Canis lupus familiaris: one gene and its partners. The protein of the gene in region 3 purifies or fractionates together with the protein of the main gene of each other region. This does not show direct contact. Links are inferred from orthologs where the notes say so. Each region holds a gene or a part of one and is shown on either strand. Other genes may lie near its edges.

Region 1 (6,344 bases), on a different chromosome or scaffold from region 3:
GGGTTACAGCAGGACTGTGGTGGGTGGAGGCGGTGGCCTGGCACTGCCACCGGCTCCCTTCTCACAGCAGGAAGTTGACAGACACTGTCTAAAACCGATACATCAAAAACAAGAACAAATGAGCCTATCATCAGGAAATAAGGTGGAGAATTCTAGAAGAAATAGCTATAAGGGTCAAAAGATCACTTTGGGGAACAGCTGTAGAGGGTGGGAAGGTATTGGCATAAATTAGAATTTCGCAAAAGTAAAATTTAACTCTGGCCACAGCAAAACATCCCCATGACAAGTCAGCAGAAACAGTCTTTTTCTTTTTAAGATTTTATTTCTTTATTCATGAGACATACACAGAGAGAGAGGTGGAGACACAGGCAGAGGGAGAAGCAGGCTCCATGCGGGGAGCCCGATGTGGGACTCGATCCCAGGACCTTGGGATCATGACCTGAGCTGAAGGTGGGTGCTCAACCACTGAGCCACCCAGGCATCCCAGAAACAGCCCACCCTAAGAAATTATCAGACTGACCAAATTGGAATGATGATTTATCAATTAAGGCAAACAACTGTAGTGGGAAAGCAGATGGTCACATGCTGGAAATTCCAAAGCTTTCTGTAGCCACACAGAGCATAGATAAACAGGCCATATCTAAGTTGTGGCTTTTCCCAAAACTGGGCCCTCAGCCATCCTTCCTCACTCCCCCCGACTCATCGTCCTCACCGTCCCTGGGCCTGCGCCTCCATTACCCTGCCGCTGGCCTTGTGACCCTCCTGCCAGCTCAGCCTGCACTGGGATCAACGCCTCCCATACCGTGGGCCAATCGGGGAGAAGCCCAGAACCCTCTGGCCCTGGGCCCCCTACAGTGCTCCAGCACAGCCTTGGGAGGTGGTGACCCTTCCAGGGCCCCTCAGCTCCAGGGTCCAAGCACCCCCTGTGTCAGAGGGAGGCACCCCGGGACAGGGGATACTACTCACCAGATACCAGCCATCATAAAAGCTGTCAGGGCCCCCTCTCCTGAGTAATCAGGGTGTTAACTGATACTCCCTCAATACTCACTTCCTCCTCCTACCATCAGCCTCTGGCAGCCTCCAAAAAACATTTCTGGTGGTTTCCAGAAATGGACAGATGCAGAGCGAGCCACTTCTGATTCGTTAGCCCTAATACTCTTCCCTGGACTGGTCTTGTTGGCCTCAACTAGATGTGACTGCACTTACGATGCTAATTCAACTTTTCAAGATCCAAAGGGCAAAACTTAACATAATTCATTTATAAAGACAAACAGGTTTCAAAGAATGCAAGCTAATTTGTTTTTTTGTCAGATGAAACTATAAGCTCATAGGAAACGTGCCTGCTAATGGAACACCAGAATGAATGAATGAACTTCTCCTTTCAAATCCGCTCTGTCTCCTTGTGTACTCATCTTTGCCTAGTCAAAAGCAAAACAAAAACCTGTTTTTTTTCCAAGTGAAAAAGAACCAACTTATTGAAACGCAAGGTGGAAGAGCAAGAGATGAGACACAGTTAATTCAGACAATTTAATTCCAGGCTCTTCTAAGGACTTTGCCTTTTGATTTCAGTTGCTTTAAAAGAAAAAAAAAAAAAAAAAGTTCAGTGCATGAACATTAAAAAAAGTCCTCTCCCAAGGGCTAATTTTTTCTCTACTCATTTGCACCCAAAATGATCCAGCAATGGAAGATGTTAAAACTTTGCAAATGGGGAGCAAGGGGGCAGGGTGAGGATAAAGGAAGAATTAGCTCGGATTGTAAAAAAGTGCTCTTCCATTCCTCAGGAACAGATAACACAGAGACGGCGAGCCTGCCGTGGGGGGAACAGGAAATACTACTTCTTCCAAAAACATACTGTGGGCACAAAGGATGGCAGTAACCTCCCTGCATTCTTGCTCTAAAATCATCCATCTTGGGGCCCCTGGTGGCTCAGGGGTGGAGCGTCTGCCTTTGGCCCAGGGCATGACCCTGGGGTCCTGGGATGGAGTCCCACATGCCCCTCTCTCTGTCTCTGGTGAATAAATAAATAAAATCTTAAAAAATAACATCATTTATTCTCACTTGGATCTGTATTGTGATGGTTATCATTGAAATTTCAATGAGGTCTTGCTCCCTGAAAAGGGGCAATTTGCCCATTTAATCACAGAAGGTATAGTTACTGGACAGGAGAAATGCGATTTATTTCCAAAAGTAAACAAAAGGCCCTAGGAGTCTCATATGGTTCCAAACGTCCTGATGCGTAAAACCCCTGAGAAATAAGGTTTTGAGGTAAGTTTTAGGGAACTCACTCAGTGACATCTGCCCTAAACGGACACACAGCTATTTATAGTGTGTTTATTCCACTAAATGCGACAAGTCACAGTGTCCGTGCAGACATATGAACGGGTGGGAGTATGGGAGGCCGCCCAGCATGTACCAGAGTCTCTAATACACGGCGACAGTGTGGACACGTACCTCTCTAAATTCTGAGAAATGTTTTTCTCAATGCTGAAATTTAGCTTCCCAATTTGAACTCTAAATTGTGAAAAATCCAGGATTCCAAAACATATCTTAGCACATGGGTTTTGGAAAATAATTGTGGACGTGCTATGTGCTGCATAAAGTAGATACTGTACTAGGGAGTCTTTGGTTTAAAAGCAGAGAAATTTTTTTAAAAAGGAAAATAAATAAAACTGAGAGGTCAGACTTGCGCTTAGGATATTAAATTAAATATGAGCCTAAAGAAGGTGAAAGTGAGTTATTTCTTAAATACAGATCTAACAATAAGATTATTTGTCAAGTTCTTCCCTTAGCAGAGGTTAAGACCTAAAGTATACGCCTCATTTTTTTATCCTAGCTTAAAACATTAAAAACATTCTAGTTACTAAGCCTATTTATAAAATCCTACCTATGAAAGCGCTCCACATACAGAGACTAGAAATCCATTTCTATTTTACTACAAAATCTCCTCTAAACGTAACAAAACAAAAGTATAATGGAGATGGAACAAAATGACTTGATAAAAAATTTTAATGGAGAAGATTTCTCGTTTAAAACCCCTAGTACTCTACACCTTTCTAAAGGTGTTAGCTCAAGGATAAATATATTCATGCACAATAGGGACTTTTTTTTGGGGGGGCGGGGGGGGGGGGAGAGAGCAGATCAATGAATTTAGTTCCGTGAAATTAAAATGCTGCCTTCCTAGTGGCAATGAATTTCTTCTTACTGAAAAAAAAAAAAAAAAAAGGCTTCAGATGCTAGAATCATTTCCATTCCTTCCAAGAATTCCAAGTCATCACAAGATGAACTCTTTTTTAACTAGAAAATTCCGATGTGGGGCATCTCCAACCTTTAAACTACCCACTGACAGCGCTTCCAGGGCTTAAGGAAAGAACACCTGCTGCTCAAGGGTTGCTAGGGATCAACGGAATCTTTGGTCATTCAGTCAAACGGATGAAAATAACCTGCAACACTGTCTCCAACATCAAAAGCCTCAAACCGTGACTTCTCCAGACTAGGTCTTCCTAGTTCTGGAACATTCGAATAAACCCAAAGCTGAATCGCCTCTGTACAGCTAGGTAGGCGGGCTGATGCTTTGGGAGCTATGCTGCCCAACTCCAACTGACCCGGCATCGGCATCGCACCACACTGGGCTCTCGGCGGCACTTACTGTCACTGTACCGTGAAAACGTGTCTCAACGAGCGATCCTGCTCCATTTTAGGGGTGGCCCGGGAAGTTTCTTGTTTCTACACAACTGCTCTTTCTGTAGGAAAAGGCGTGCAAGCGCTGAACCCTCCGCAGGCCCAGGAGCACTGGCACCTGGAGTCACCCACATCAACAAGGTGGAATTTCCCAGGGCAGCGATAAAATGGCCAAAGGACAAGGTGAGCCTCCTGCGCCCCGGATCCGCGCCCGCCGCCGGCACCTGCGGCTTCCGCACCCCCCCCCCGCCCGCCCCACTGGCGCCCCGCCCCGCGTGCCCGGCAGGCCCGACCCCACCGACCCCGGGAGTGCTCGGTGGAGGACCTACCCGTCCTGATTCCAGAGACTCGATCAGCCTGTCCCTCCCGAGGCCCTGAGCGCACCTGCCCCGCCGAGGGCCCCGCACAGACCCGGACTCGGGGCGGGCAGGGGGGCGACAGGCGCGTCGCCCCGCCCGCCTTCCCCTGCTCCCGGCTGCCCGGGGCTCCGCGTCCCGGCTGCCCGGCCCAGGGCGCGCGCCACACCTACCTGTGCCAGGTGAGCCGAGGGCGGGGCGCGGGGCGCGGGGCGCGGGCGCGGACGGCTCGGGGCGCAGCACGGGACCGCCCGCTGCTCCTCGCTCCTCCCGCCGCTGGAGTCTTCTCAGCCGGCCAGCGCGAGGCGCTTCCTCATTTTGGGCAACTTCCTTAACGCGCCGGGCAGGCCCCGCACTTCCTCCCGGCCGCCGCGCCCCAGCGCCGGGGGCCCGCCCCCCCCCGCCTCTCCCCGCCCGCCCGTGCGCCCCAGCGACCCCGCGCCCGCCCCAGTGCCCCCAGCGCCCCCGCGCCCCGGACCCGCCTACCCCGCCCGCCGGTGCGCCCCAGTGACCCCGCGCCCGCCCGAGTGCCCCCAGCGCCCCCGCGCCCGGGGCCCACCCACCCGCCCGCCAGCCTGCGGTGCGCCCCCGTGCCCCTGTGCTCCCAGCGCCCCGGGCCCACCCGGAGTGCCTGCAGGGACCCCACGCCGTGCCTGCTGCCCGTGCGCCCAGGACAGGCTCCGAGCGCCCCTAGCCCCCTGCGCCCTGCCTCCCAGGCCCAGAAGGCCCACCCCAGGGGTCTTCATCCACACACAAGGGGCCCTGACAGCAACAGGAACCTCTGGCCGCCTTGCCAACCTGCCACCTGGTCCTTTGAACCACTGGCAGCGCTAAAAGGGCGCGCCCATCGCGCAGGGCCCTGGCGTGGGAAGAGACTCTTGCTCACTGGGGGGCGGACTCCCTCCTGGTCACCAACCCAAGCCGCTCCTGCTGACCTGTGACCCCAAGGCCCTCTGCACCCTGCCTTTAGAGTTAGGCTCTAGGTGCACATCGGACTTCACTGCGCTCTGCTGGAAGGGCCCGGCTTGTCCCACGCCGTGTTTTCTGAGGGCTCTGGTGATTTCAAGGTTCTTGACAGTGAGCTCAACTTGCTCCCTTCAGCCCACAACCGGTTCTTATGCCTGGACCTAAATAAATTAAGTTTAATATTTACCGTAGTATTGGGGCACCTGGGTGGCTCAGTGTGGAATGTCTGCCTTTGGCTCAGGTCCTGATCCCGTATTCCTGGGATCATGTCCCCCGGGGAGCCTGCTTCTCCCTCTCTTTGCCTGTGTCTCTGCCTCTCTCATGAATAAATAAATAACATCTTTAAAAAATATATTTACTGTAGTTTTTTTTTAAATTTATTGTAGTTCTAAAAAATATTTCTAAAATGCCCTATCCCCTCTCCTCGTTTTTCTATCAGGGAGCCCTCTTTAAAATTTTCCCATAAAACAGTGCCCAGATCCTCAGATTCTTGGTAACAGGTAGCAGTAAGTGTTTTAAAAGGCTGTGCCCTGAGCCCCAAAATTCAAAGTGAAATATATAGCGTGTTAGATTATAATTGCCATGGAGAAATACGAGGTGATAGGGAGTATGGACACTCATCGCGGCCCCTCAGTCTTTCCCACCTGGACATTCTCTTCTATTCATTTTTAAGTCAAGTGAGGGATTTTTATTATGGCTCTATTTGATAAGCATTGGACTTAAATTTTGCTTCAAACAGCCAATGAAATAGCCAGCATTCTCTAAACAGAAGCTGCAAAACATGTACACAGGAGGTTTCCAGAGTGGGTAATATCATTGGAAATGGACAAATGGGATTTGTTTTGAATCTGCATGAGAAGAGCAAACCTGGTGTTAATGAAGATGATGAAGATGACGTGTTTCCCTAGGGGCAGCCAATGGCGATGAGGTTCTAGATCAGTCCCTACACAATGCCTTCCTGCACTGCTGTGTGGTCCCTCTCACCTTTGGGGCATTTAAGTGACTGAGCATGCTTATGATGATTTTGGAAAAAAAAACATAATGTTAAAGTCATTACACAAATACCTAGAAAAAAAAAACTTTCAAAAAGACAACTTCAAAATAAAAATTAAAAAAAAAAAAAGTCAATACATTTCTGCCAGCGTTTCTTCCTTCTCCCAATGGTCTTCTCCCTCCAATGGCTTTGCTGTTCACCCTTCACTCAGTAAATCTTAGCTGTCATTATTGTCTGAGTCCTGGAGCCCCCCCCCCCCCATGAAACCCTGTACTCTGATGGTCTCTGGGACTCCCCACACTGCTACTTTTTAAAGTCTCCTGTTCCTTGCAGATTCTTTTTTTTTTTTT
Region 2 (6,225 bases), on a different chromosome or scaffold from region 3:
TGTAAGTCTGTACACCAACATACAATAGTTATTTTAGCTGGATAATGGGATCATGCAAGATTTTATTTTCCTTATTGTGCTTTGTTGTATTTTCTAGAGTTTCTAAAATAATTACACATTACTCTTGTAATTAGGAAAAATAATAAATGACATTTTTTAAAAACTCGACTTAGAAATCTATAGCCATTATGCCTTGGAAAGGCTCTGGGAAATCAAAGGAGAATAAACAGTGAGTTGTTAAAGAATCTCATGACTCAGAGACCTAGAATTCTGGCTTTCAGACTAACTCAAGCCCATAAATCTGATCCTGGTATCTCAGAGAATAAAACCAATCATCTCTGATGAGTTTGAAAATTTCATATATTGGGGCTCTTGGGGGGCTCAGTTAGTGGAGCATGCAACTCTTCATCTCAGTGTTGTGAGGTTGAGCCCCACATGGGTTGTAGAGATTCCTTTAAAAAAATCATCGTAAAATTGGTGTTAGAATTTTCCAAGGTTAAGTGAGTTCTGCATCTGGGGGGAAAATGCTGAGATTCAGTATAACCCATATGTTCCAGAGTGAATAATTTTGTAAGGGAACTCTACCACATTGCATCACCAGTTTATTTATAGAGAGTTGAAGTGTTCCAAGTTTCTTAACCACCCCATTCCTGCTCTGACAATGGTCTCTACTTACTGGAATCTGTCTTTCAGGGGGAGGATTTTTTTCAGGAACCACTGTTTCAACGCAGGTGATCTTCTCAACATCTATTGAACCCTTCTTACTGCCTCTTCTCTGAGAAAGAGAATGAGGAACAAAATGGAGAAAGATTAGGAATGATTAAGCAACCAGATGATTAGATTTTGTTATCTAATCATTCAACATAGTGAGGTGACACCCACGTTCTATTCATCAGAACCTGTCATTTTGAAAAAAAAAATACAACAAAACTTCCAGATCTATTAATCTAAACTTTTTTGACTATCAGAGGGCAAATACTATAGAAGAGTGGATGACTGTGTGTGCCTTTACCATAAAAAATGAAGAATAATTTTCAAGACGTGGATTTCATTCTCAACAGCACTTAATGAATGATCAGTTGCAAGATTCCATGGTAAGATTGCCCCCATGGCTTCTTAGCACCTTTGAATTTTTTGTGCCAACATGGCTGTAGTTAGTTCTAGGCTAAGAAACATTTTTCTGAGTTTGAAATATACCTCGATCCCTACCACCTCCCTCCTCCAACCAAAAATATCTAGTCCTCAAGGAAGATCTAAGGCTAAGTCCTTGATATTCAGGTTTCACAGCAGAAAAACTTACCCCACGTTCAAAGTCATACTCATAGTAGGAAAGTTTGTGCATAGTTAAGAGAAAGAGGCGCTTCTTGAAGTTTAAAGGTGATGTTTTCTTTTTCTGTTGAGATCGCTTCAGAAAGATGCTCTCCAGTATCACTGCAGCCATAGCTTCTTCTTTCTGGAGCTCACTTGTGTGCTGTTGATAATGAAAGTTCTTGAGGACCCAGCACATTATTCCTTATCCCTCCTGGTTCCCTCTCAACCTGACCACCTAGTTTCAAATGGAACAGAATCATGCAAAGCTAATAAAGAGCCTTCTTCCTGCCTTGACATCCTCCTTCCATAGCTTCCGTCTCTGTCAGTTTTCAGGTGTAATGGTGAATTGGAAGGACAGATTCGGCATGAGCTCACATACACTGGGTTTTTGTATAAGGCAATGGAATGCTCTGAATGTCAAATGACATGTACCTGTGTGCTTAGTAATGTCTAGAGGCCACTTTATACTAACCACCCTTTTGTGATACGTGCAGAATCTGTGAACAGCAACAGTCTCTGTGCAGCTGTTGACACTGATATCCCCAGAAGGGATAATGCAGGTGCCAAAACTTCACTGAGGCAGATATTGGACTTTCAGTTCCCAGTTTCCTAGACAGTGAATGCAATTTTTTCAAACATTGTCCCACTGGGGTCTGTAAACAAGGCATATAATAAGGATATGGAGGCTGCACCTGCAGGTATGGACATATACTAACTGCTGCCCAACTGATTTTGCCCATCAACCACTAGCTCAGCTACAAAGGGTAGAAGCTTTGTTCTAAAATTGAAAAATAATTTTGGGGGAGGGAGTTCCTTTTGTTTTGTCTTTGGTTTGTGTGTGTGTGTGTGTGTTTTAGTTTTTTTGTGTGTGCGTGTTTTGGTTTGTGTTTCCCCCTCCTTTTTATATTTTTAAAGACTTTATTTATTTATTCATGAGAGACACACAGAGAGAACAAGAGACACAGGCAGAGGGAGAGAGAGAAGCAGGCTCCATGCAGGGAGCCCGACCTGGGACTCGATCCCCGGTCTCTAGGATCACACCCTGGGCTGAAGGCGGCGCTAAACCGCTGAGCCACCCGGGCTGCCCTCCCCCTCCTTTTCTTAGATTGGTTCTTTTAGACACTGTCTTACCAAAGTGATGCAACTGTCTACTCTTATGGGTGCCATCTCTGGTTATTTACGAAAAGTAATTTGTTTACTCTCTCCAAACTTAGAATACTCTAGGAAAGATTCAGTTTAGGTAGCTGAAGTGCAAAAATGCAAAGAAAGTTACAAAAGAAATCACCATTGGTTTTTTTCATTCATACAAAACATGCTTCATATTAGTTATTCACTTACTGTTTACACACAATTGCATATTCATTTAAAGTCTATGCATAATTCCAAACCTTCCTTAGAAAGATTAAGTGAAAATATAAATACTATCACAAAATGGGGCACTTAATCAGTACAAAATAAGTACTGAAACAGATCACCAGCTTCCCTCAAATTTTGTTATAAGTGGGGTTCTTTTCTTTTTTAAAGATTTTACTCATTTATTCATGAAAGACAGAGAGAAAGAGAGAGAGAGAGAGAGAGAGGCAGAGACACAGGCAGGGGGAGAAGCAGGCTCCATGCAGGGAGCCGGATGTGGGATTCGATCCTGATCCCGTCTCCAGGATCGCGCCCTGGGCTGAAGGCGGCGCTAAACAGCTGAGCCACCCCGGCTGCGTGGGGTTTTTTTCTTAAGGAGGGATGACATTTTTTATAACTAAACTCCTTATCCTTTATCTGTCTATGCAGAATAAATAATGTCAGCATTTTTTTTCTACCTGCCAAACACAGATTATTGCTCACACCAAGGAAACAAGGGAGCAGTTTTTATCAAAGTCTGAGGCTATCCGCACCGTTATTTTGCTCTTTCCTGTGGTGTAGAAGGTTCTATTATCATACTGGGGAGACATTAAAAATAGGTTAAAGGAACACCAGGGATGTTCAAAATAATCACTTTGCCACTTATTCACCATGTCGATGCTACTGTCTTCTGGTGGTGGATTAATTCAATGGTTTATAAATGATCTTTTGAGAAAAATTAGACAAGGAGCAAACTTTTTCCCCACACCTGGTCACACAGGTTCCCTGACTACCTGGTTTAAATGGTCTCTACAGGAGTGACAAACTGATAAGACTTTACAACCAGAGTACTTTCTAATGCTCAAACCCCACAGAGATTTCTGTCAACATTAAAATTATTCATTTATTCAGAAATAGTGGTAACCAAGTAATATTATATTCTCAAGAACAGTCAACTCATCAAGATACTTGTAATGAGATCACATTTTTTTCACTGTGAATTCCAATTAAATAGCTCTTCACAATCAGAAAGACTCAACTTGCACAAGATAAAATAAAGCCTTAATGAAAATAAGTAGCATGTCCAGTAAATTGGATCAGAAGCATCCTAACAAACTACATCCAGTTTTGCTTCTTTTAGCTGAGTAAAGCATACCCATGATTTTACCTTTAGTTTTGTTGCAAGCTCTTGATGGATGCATTCCCTGCTCTGACCCAGCATCCGCTTCAGTCTTGGCCTCTGCTCTTACTTCCTATAAGATAGGTCCTTCTGGAAACTGCCTCTGCTCTTTTTCTCTTTTATTTTTATTTTCTTTTTTCTTTTTTTTTTCTTTCTTTTTCTCTTTTAGAACAAATCCAGTTTGTACAAGAGGAAGCCTTCCTCTCTTTCAAGTGTCTGTTGGGTTATGGTTTAGTGCTGGTCTAAGTATGAGGAAGTAAGTAAGCCTCTCACTAGCCATCACCCCTCTCAGCAAAAGGGTGAAATGGCCTCTACCACTAGATCATGGAGTTGAAGAATTCCCAGGATTTCCAAGGTCTGGTTGCCCCTTCTTTGACTGCTTTCCCCTTATTCCTTGTGAACCAGTCCAGACACACACAGCCTGAAAATGTGGTCGTTCTTCCTTAGTCATCACTGATTCATCCACCAATAATGTGAAAGGAGGTGCATTTTTCCTGAAGGTTGGTGTGTGATGGACACTGCATTAGAGGGCAGTTGCAACTTCTTTATGGTAGCTTCTAAATTTTCTTCTAACTATTTCAGCAGCTGACAGTTAATTTGACCACAAAAGATGCACCATGTGGCTGACCCCCCACTTCACTCAGAGGGTGGGGGTGGGGGTGGAAACCGGAAGTGACATGAATGTTAACACACACACACATTCACACACTGATGTTCACATAAAGAAAGAGGAGGAAAAATAATAGAAAGACACAGGTTCTTCATTTAAAATACAGAATTCCAGGGGCACGTGGGTGGCTCAGTGGTTGAGCATCTGCCTTTGGCTCAGGTCGTGATCCCAGGGTCCTGGGATCAAGTCCCACATCAGGGTCCCCATAGGGAGCCTGCTTCTCCTTCTGCCTATGTCTCTGCCTCTCTGTGTGTCTCTCATGAATAAATGAATAAAATCTTTTTAAAGATACAGAATTCCAGCATTATAATGTTCTCTTTTTAAACTACAAATGCAAGAATTTTCATGTGGCCACCTTTTGCAGCCTCCCAGCTTCCTATGGAGCAGCAGAATTCATAAAGAGGATGCTTGTTAATAAGAGTTCAGCCATCTTAAAAACTGCGCTATGCCAAGGAATTGATACGAAAAACACCTGTAGGATTGGTAAACTAAATCACCTTTGGTCCTATCACTGCTCAAGGTAAGATAAACACCAGAGCAAAATTCAGAAGACTACACAGCCTGCCTATGATTGGGAAGAGTCCAGGAAATGCTATTTAGAAATAACCAGTCAGTCATAGTTCAAATAGCTACTTAGCCAGAATATCCAAGAAACATCATTCTCTATTTCTCATTTAAAGCATTACTTAAGTACCAAAAAAGTCTGTCTATTCCCTTTTCTTCTGAGGGGAATGGAAGGAAATTCTTGTTTTTCTCAGTGCAGTCTACCCATCAAGCATTTTATACTCAGTATTTCATTTATTTCTTACAACAAAGAGGTGAGGAAAGTGAGATTCATGGAAGTTGTGTGATCTGCCCAACCTCATCCATAACTCCACAGCCCTTGCTGTTTCTGTGATACCTACCTCATTGCCTCCTAGAGAGATTTTTTTTTTTTTTTGCTTTCAATAAGTTTTGATGCTATCCATCTCACCACCTGTCATCCCCCATGGCTACCATCAAAGAGCAGTAGAGACAGAATCCTCTGCATCTTCTAGGAACATTTGACAAAAGAGGAAATGATGGTAAATTCAGGGGATAAGAGAGAGTACAGGATCCTGGAGCATTTTCCTCTGCAATAATCCTCCAAGCGAAAAAGGGTGATTTATCCCTGTTAACTGTCAACTGTACTTTTTCCCATATGTGGACTCTTCTTATCCCTACCAGATTTTCTTACATTTTCCTTTCAGTCTTTCGGAAAGAGATCCTAACTGGTGTTACTTGCTGTTTTCTTTTCAGGACTTTTTTTCATTGTTGATTCGATAAAAATATGAGATTTATGTGGAACACCTGCCAACTCTGTCCCTAGGGTTGTTATTGCATAGTGTGAATGTAAATTTTTGATCAAATGTACTTTGTTTTATATTATGAAGTGTGGCAAATAGTACAGAGACTAACACTACACTCAGGTACTCACCACTTAGCTCTATAAAATTCTAACATAGTGCCATAATTGCTTCCGGCATTTTTCAGAAATAAAATACTAACCATAGAGTCAAAACTTCCTTGTATACTCCTCTGCAATCAATCCCCTCCTTCCTCAGAAGTTAACTATATCTTGAATTTCGTGTTAATCATTCCTAGGCATGTTTTTATATTGTTACTGCATATGTAAGTATCCATGAAAGGTATTTAGTATTGGTTTGCATGTTTTACAGGGTACATATTCTTCAGCAACTTGCTTTTCTTCTCA
Region 3 (6,097 bases):
TGGCAAAGCTTTGTAATTCTCAGCTTAGAGTACAGAAACAGGCTTGGGTTTGAGTCCCAGCTCTTCCACGAATGATTGGCAGAACTCTCAGCCAGTTACCTAACCTCTCTACAAATCAATTTTTTCACATGTGAAGTGGGCGTCATCATATGGAAACATGGAAAGCATTCAGTAGCATGTTGTTGTTTGTTGTCACTAGTAGATACAAGGAAAGAGCCAAGAGAAACCAGGGTTGGTTGGGTCTCATCCCCGAGTTCCAGTACAGTGTATCTTTTTGTTCTCAAGTCTCAACATCTCACAGAGCTGAGACTCAGTCAGGCTGTCCTGGCTTTGCCCCATAATTCTAGAACATATCTTCTTTTATTTATTTTTTGTTAAATATTTAATACCTACAGTAGGTATCTGTATACTTGCAACTCAACTTGAGAAGTAGGACATCACCATTGTCTTTGAAGCCCTGTGTTCCCCTTCACTCCAACCCCCTTCCTTGATGACCATTCACCTGAATTTTACATCTATTTACATCTATCATTCCCTCCATCTGTTTGACCACATAAGTGTGTGTGTCATAAATTATATATTAGTTAGTTTTACATGTCTTTAGCCTTAATAGAACAAGAATCATGATACATGATCTTCTTTAACTTCCCTTTATTGCAATAAATTATTTTTATTATTTATCCATACTAATGTGACTATACTTCACTCATTGTCACTGTTGAATAGGACTCCATTGCATTCATATGCCACAATTAATGTATTCATTCTCTGGTTGATGAGCAATTGGATTTTTTCCAGTGTTTTTAAATTTTCTATTAGAAATGGTTCTTCCATAACAATTCTTGCACATGGCCTTGGTGTACACAGTATATTCGTACTGCTTTCTCATGTCTATGACCCAAATTACTTTGGTAATAACAAAGTGTTTCCAGAGTGATTGTACCTACTTGAATTTTTGTCAACAGTGCATAGAGTTCCAAATTTTCTCTAAGGTTGGGATTGTCCATTTGTCATCTGTTCATCTAGAGATTAATTTTCATGTGCACTGTGCCATGTAAATTGTGACTGTTTATTACAGTACGTTGTTCTCCATGTGTTGTGGAAACCATGCCGTGTGGCCTCATTCTTTTTACGAGTCATTAGCTAAGACTTGGTACCCTTGATCTCCAGGCTTGCATTGATCTTCTTGGAAAGCTGGTTACAGCTGCAGAGCAGTTGTGGCAGCTTGGAACATTATGGTAGTCATGCTACACACCACATGGGGCAAAATGTCCAGTCTGGAAAAGCAGACTCTCATTTTTATTATGTCAGACTAATACAGTAAGAAAGAAGAAAGACAAGTGGCTGTAAAAAGAAAAAGCAGAAGTGTAACTCTTGCCGCTGCTTTTTTTTTTCTCTGGGGAAATAAGAAGTTGCCAGTCCAGGTGCTAAACAGATTTGTTAGTTGAGAGAAAAGTCAAGTGGCTGATGGGGTGCACTTTACAGTAATTTAGAAGAAACAGGCTGGCTATCATCATCCCACTCAGTGAAGCTTGATTTTCTTGATCCTTGGTGACATTGTAATAGCTTTCCCTGTTCCCATCTACTAGTTTTGTTTTGTTTTTGTTTTTGTTTTTCAGTTAAGAACTATGGAGAGAGGATAGGTGAGGCTCTAGGACTCCTTCGGGATACACTGCAAGGAAACTGAGCTTCTTGTTTGGGGAAAATAAACAATTGGAAGAGGCAAGTGCTTGAATTTTTCTCATGAAAGATTGTCTGCTCCCTTGCTGGCCTGGCCAATTTAGTGGCTTGGCCAAGCAGAAGGGCCCCACCCTTTAATAGCTTTGAGGATTCTGCTCCTGAACACCTGGTCGAACTAGAAATTCAGAGGCAGAACATGAATGTGAACAATCAAGATTTACCTAGAGAAATATAGAACCTCTGTTTGTACAAAGAATAGATACAGAAGGGAAGAAATCCATCTACCACTTGTACTCTGCCAGAGAGGCTGCCTCTCCCTCCCCTCTTCCTTCTCCTCCTCCCTCCCGTTCTCCTCCCCACTCCTCCTACCCCACCTCATTCAGGTCTCTCCTTTTGGCTCTTCCTCCCATCTCCCCTTCTATCTTCAGCCAGACCTGGGGTCTGTAACAGGAGAGGTAACTTGGAGCCTCTGCTATGTCCTTCTTATATATTCTTCAGACCCAGGAGAGGATTAGTCACTGAATAAATGTGCTAAATATGCACCTTCTTCACAAAGGTGAGCAGGAATTTCTTGCTGGGTGCAGGGAAGTGTGCCCAGACATAAAAGGAACTGTCCCTCTCATTTTCCTCCTCCCTGACTTAAACTGCCTTCTGCTCTCTAAATGACAGTACAGAAATGCCGTTTTCATATCATGGTTCTTTAAGTGGAAAAATTTATCCATGAATTTATGCAAATGAACAGAAAGTCCCAAAGAGACCTGATGGAATTGATTATTCTGCTTTTCCTTGAGCCCAGGAAGCAACTGGGGACAGAATGACACCTGCTAAAAACAGGGCTATGTGTGTTTGGGACAACAGGAAGTAGTGACCATCTAGAAGCCAGTCCTGACCTGATTACAAATCTGGTTATAAAAGAAAGCAGCTGGAAAGAAATTTGCATGTCCAATAGGTTTCACTATTAAAGTTTACACGACGTGGAGTAATCAGCCAAGCCGGCTGGCTACCCAGATCACATGATTATGTAGAAACATGAAACTTGACTATGTGCTCGAGCAAGTTTTACTTCTCCCTACTGTAGGGTGTTTGCCAGCAGCCTGCACTCTCGGAAATCAGACTCAAGTGACTGGGACCCTTGAGATCAAAGGCTTACCATGCTTCTCCCTAAGAGGGCCAGGGCCTGCTGACATTACTGCTGACGGTTATTCGTGGTTCTTATAATTAACAAAAAGAATGGACAAGCTTAATAAAATAACTGTCCCTGCCAGTCAGAAGTTGAGGTAAGATTTTCCTTATCTAATACTTCTCCTTCCTCTGCTTCTTCTGCTTCTTCTTTTTTTTAATGCTCCTACTGCATCTGAGAAATATTGAAATCCTGGAATACTTTGCTAGTTGTAAGGCAGTGGGTGGCAGTTGCTATAGGGAAGTAGACTGAGTTTTTAAAGAGATATGTAGGAACAAGTGGGCTTATTCCTGCTGGTTTTAGCTATTGAAAGATTAAGGTAGAAAATTCTGGAGAATTCTGGCTTAGATTCTACTAAAGTTCAGCTTTCTGAGTCTGAATACAACAAACTAGTCTAAGGAAGGGTTTGTCTAACCCTTGTTTAACCTTTGCTAAACGCTTAACTATTTCATTGTGGATTACTATTTAATATTTAATGTTAAGGATCATTGTAATCATTTGTATTCATTGTAGTTGTACTATCTCTTATTTATTTTGTGGGTGTATATCACAAGTGCTTGGGGACAGGAGATCTGTTTTTCCAGTGTTCTTATGTCAGTATAACAATTATCTATAAAAAAGCCACTTGGAAAAAAAAAAAAAAAAACAGAAGTGGTGCAAGGAGCAAGAATCAAAAAACTCCTCTGAGTTATGGAAAAGACAATGTCTCAAATTCTCATTTGGAAGATCTTTTTGTCTCATTGTAACAGCATCATGTTTTTAGAGACTGAAACTTTTAAATACACAATGAGTGTTCTATATTCCAACTACCATTTGAACTTCAGTTTTTAGAGGGTGATATGACACGTGAAGCAAGTAAGTTTCCACAAATAATAAGGAGCTAGAGAATTAGAGCTTTTGAGACAAAATTTATGAGAAATTAGCCTGGAATTGGTAGAGGGATGGCCCTTTACAGTGAGAGTATGCATCTTACATTTGGCCGGTGCTTGGTAAATAGTGGTTTGAAATGAACTGCTGATCTGGGACCAGTAGGCTCCATTAATGTGCTCAGACATTTCAAGGGTGTGTTGGTGAGGGCTGCGGTATGACCTGCACTGACAGGGGACAAGAAGGTGCCTCAGCCTTTGCCTTGGTTTCAAGTTGCTACACTCTCATGGGAGGGGGGCAGGTGAATCAATGAAAGTAGTAAGTGACTGAATGAGTATAGAAAAGGAATTGGAAAAAAAAAATTAAAAAAAAAGAAAAGGAATTGGGATAGCCAGGAAAGGTTTCATGGAGAAGATGCTTCAAGAGCTAGGTTTGAGAGGTGGCTTAAGGCAAAAGTAGTGTGAGAATTGGAGGAAAAGCAATGAGCCAGGAGGAAGGAAATAGAGAAGCTGACACTTGAGGCTGGCCTTGACTCAGTGCATTGGTGGGATGACGAGGAGAGTGTTCTGTCCAACAGAGACTATGGAATAGGGTATATGGTACCAGAGGGTAGTCATAAGGGAGAATGTGTCGGGTGTGGCCAGCTCACAGAGGACAGTGAGGCTCTAACTGTGGGGGATTAGAGAATGGTTTACAGGGTTAGAGATGCCATGCCAGCAGGCTTACTAATGGGTGACAGAATGGACTACAGGGGTAGGAAGCTGGGGGCAGGGATATTCTGTAATGACGGTAGTTGAGGAATGACGGCTTCTAGTGTTAGGGGCCTGGACATGGGGCACAGCAGTGAGAAGGGAAAGGAAAGGAGAGGTAAGAAAGACATGCCAAAGAAACTAACAAGGCATGGATATTAGTGCTTCTCTCAAATGAGCAAGAGGGTTTTAAAAAGTCCTTTCTAAACATTCCATAACCTAGAGCTATACCAAGCCTTAGAACCCCTTTTAGGAAATCCAGATCAGAATTTAAGTAAAGGAAAGCACTAGAACCTGAATCACTGTATGATCTCCACCTGCCACCCCCCATCCCTTGGGACAAAGACCAGCTTAATCACAGAGTGGTTGACAGGCAATATGCAACCATAGATTATAGGGTAGAAAACCAAAACTCTACTGTGGATAATCATACACTACATTCATCTGCTTAGGCAGAAGTAACTTTTTCTCCACTTGGTCACTCAGTTGTCTTTACAGAATTGGTCTGTTTTGGTAAAATGTGCACTGCTGACGTGGAACTTTAAAAAAAAATGAAAAAAAATGAAATTGTAAACACGATGGACTTGAAGCACCATCTTAAATATTTTCTAGTTAGATGGGATGGCAAGGAGTAGGGAAATGAAGTAATTGATCCCTATGGTCTGTGTCCTCTGTCCTGACTCGTTAATACCAAATCAGACGGTTGTCTAACTGCAATTATTTGGTACCAGGTGACAGTATAAGTGAAGAGCTGTGTTTATATTCTTAGGTTTATCAAAATTTAGATGAGAATTTGCTTAAATTTTTAGCCACAAAAGTAGAGAGATAATTAGTGTCCATCAAGGGCACATAGTGATCCTGGCCCATAATAATTATCAGATTAAAAATGATATTAATATCATTATTATTCTTTCTTATTAATTCCATAGGTGTGTAATTGAAATCCTGAATAGAAACATAGGACTTTACATTGATCCTTGATAAAGTTTATGTTCATTTCAGTTCTTCTTTTTATCTATTTTGGTTATTCGGTTATTTTGGTTATTTTACCTGTTGGTTGTAACTCCTATGGCATTTAGCTTTGCAAGGACTGGAGGCACAACAAACAACCCTCCTCTGCCTTAACCTAAGTGGCTAATAAAACTGTTGAGCACACAGAGCCCTTCTTGGGTGTCTGGGTCTCACTGCTAGGACTCTTACTTAGAGATCTAATTTCACAGGTTTTGGGACATGGCTTCTCTTCTCGAGTCTTGGAATCCTTAATTGGAATTTCCAGTTACTTGATTTTTCAAGTTCGATTCTTCAGAAACAAATCCACTGGGGTGTCTGGCTGGCTCACTTGATAAAGCATGCGACTCTTGAACTCAGGGTCATGAGTTTGAGCCCCATGTTGGGCTGTAGAAATTTAAAAAAAGAAAGAAAGAAAGAAAGAAAGAAAGAAAGAAAGAAAGAAAGAAAGAAAGAAAGAAAGAAAGAAAGAAAGAAATTCACCTTCTTTTCACCTTCCTGCCACTAGCTCCATCTCTGATACTCTGTTTCTGTCAATAGTATTGTCATCAACCCTAACTCTGATTCATCCCTCTCTGCACTGCCATTTACTACCACACCCTGTAGTCTTTAT

What was found. Proteins that work in one complex are often made in the same cells at the same time.
Region 1: the proteins of BLNK (region 3) and SYK purify together in Homo sapiens (affinity purification with western blotting; 3 studies listed by BioGRID and IntAct, with this or other methods). This does not show direct contact. The link is inferred for Canis lupus familiaris from reciprocal best matches to the Homo sapiens genes BLNK and SYK.
Region 2: the proteins of BLNK (region 3) and BTK purify together in Homo sapiens (affinity purification with western blotting; 5 studies listed by BioGRID and IntAct, with this or other methods). This does not show direct contact. The link is inferred for Canis lupus familiaris from reciprocal best matches to the Homo sapiens genes BLNK and BTK.

The regions. Positions count from the first base shown.
Region 1 is NC_049222.1:96,694,382-96,700,725, forward strand, and holds the start of SYK (tyrosine-protein kinase SYK), read right to left. Parts: upstream 4,330-6,344; 5' UTR 4,208-4,329; intron 4,172-4,207; exon of another isoform or gene 4,008-4,171; intron 3,855-4,007; exon of another isoform or gene 3,647-3,854; intron 1-3,646. UniProt on the Homo sapiens protein: Non-receptor tyrosine kinase which mediates signal transduction downstream of a variety of transmembrane receptors including classical immunoreceptors like the B-cell receptor (BCR).
Region 2 is NC_049260.1:75,699,353-75,705,577, forward strand, and holds the start of BTK (tyrosine-protein kinase BTK), read right to left. Parts: upstream 4,330-6,225; 5' UTR 3,866-4,329; coding exon 3,812-3,865; intron 1,472-3,811; coding exon 1,301-1,471; intron 776-1,300; coding exon 677-775; intron 1-676. UniProt on the Homo sapiens protein: Non-receptor tyrosine kinase indispensable for B lymphocyte development, differentiation and signaling. Binding of antigen to the B-cell antigen receptor (BCR) triggers signaling that ultimately leads to B-cell activation.
Region 3 is NC_049249.1:9,879,915-9,886,011, reverse strand, and holds the start of BLNK (B-cell linker protein), read left to right. Parts: upstream 1-2,649; 5' UTR 2,650-2,910; coding exon 2,911-2,957; intron 2,958-6,097. UniProt on the Homo sapiens protein: Functions as a central linker protein, downstream of the B-cell receptor (BCR), bridging the SYK kinase to a multitude of signaling pathways and regulating biological outcomes of B-cell function and development.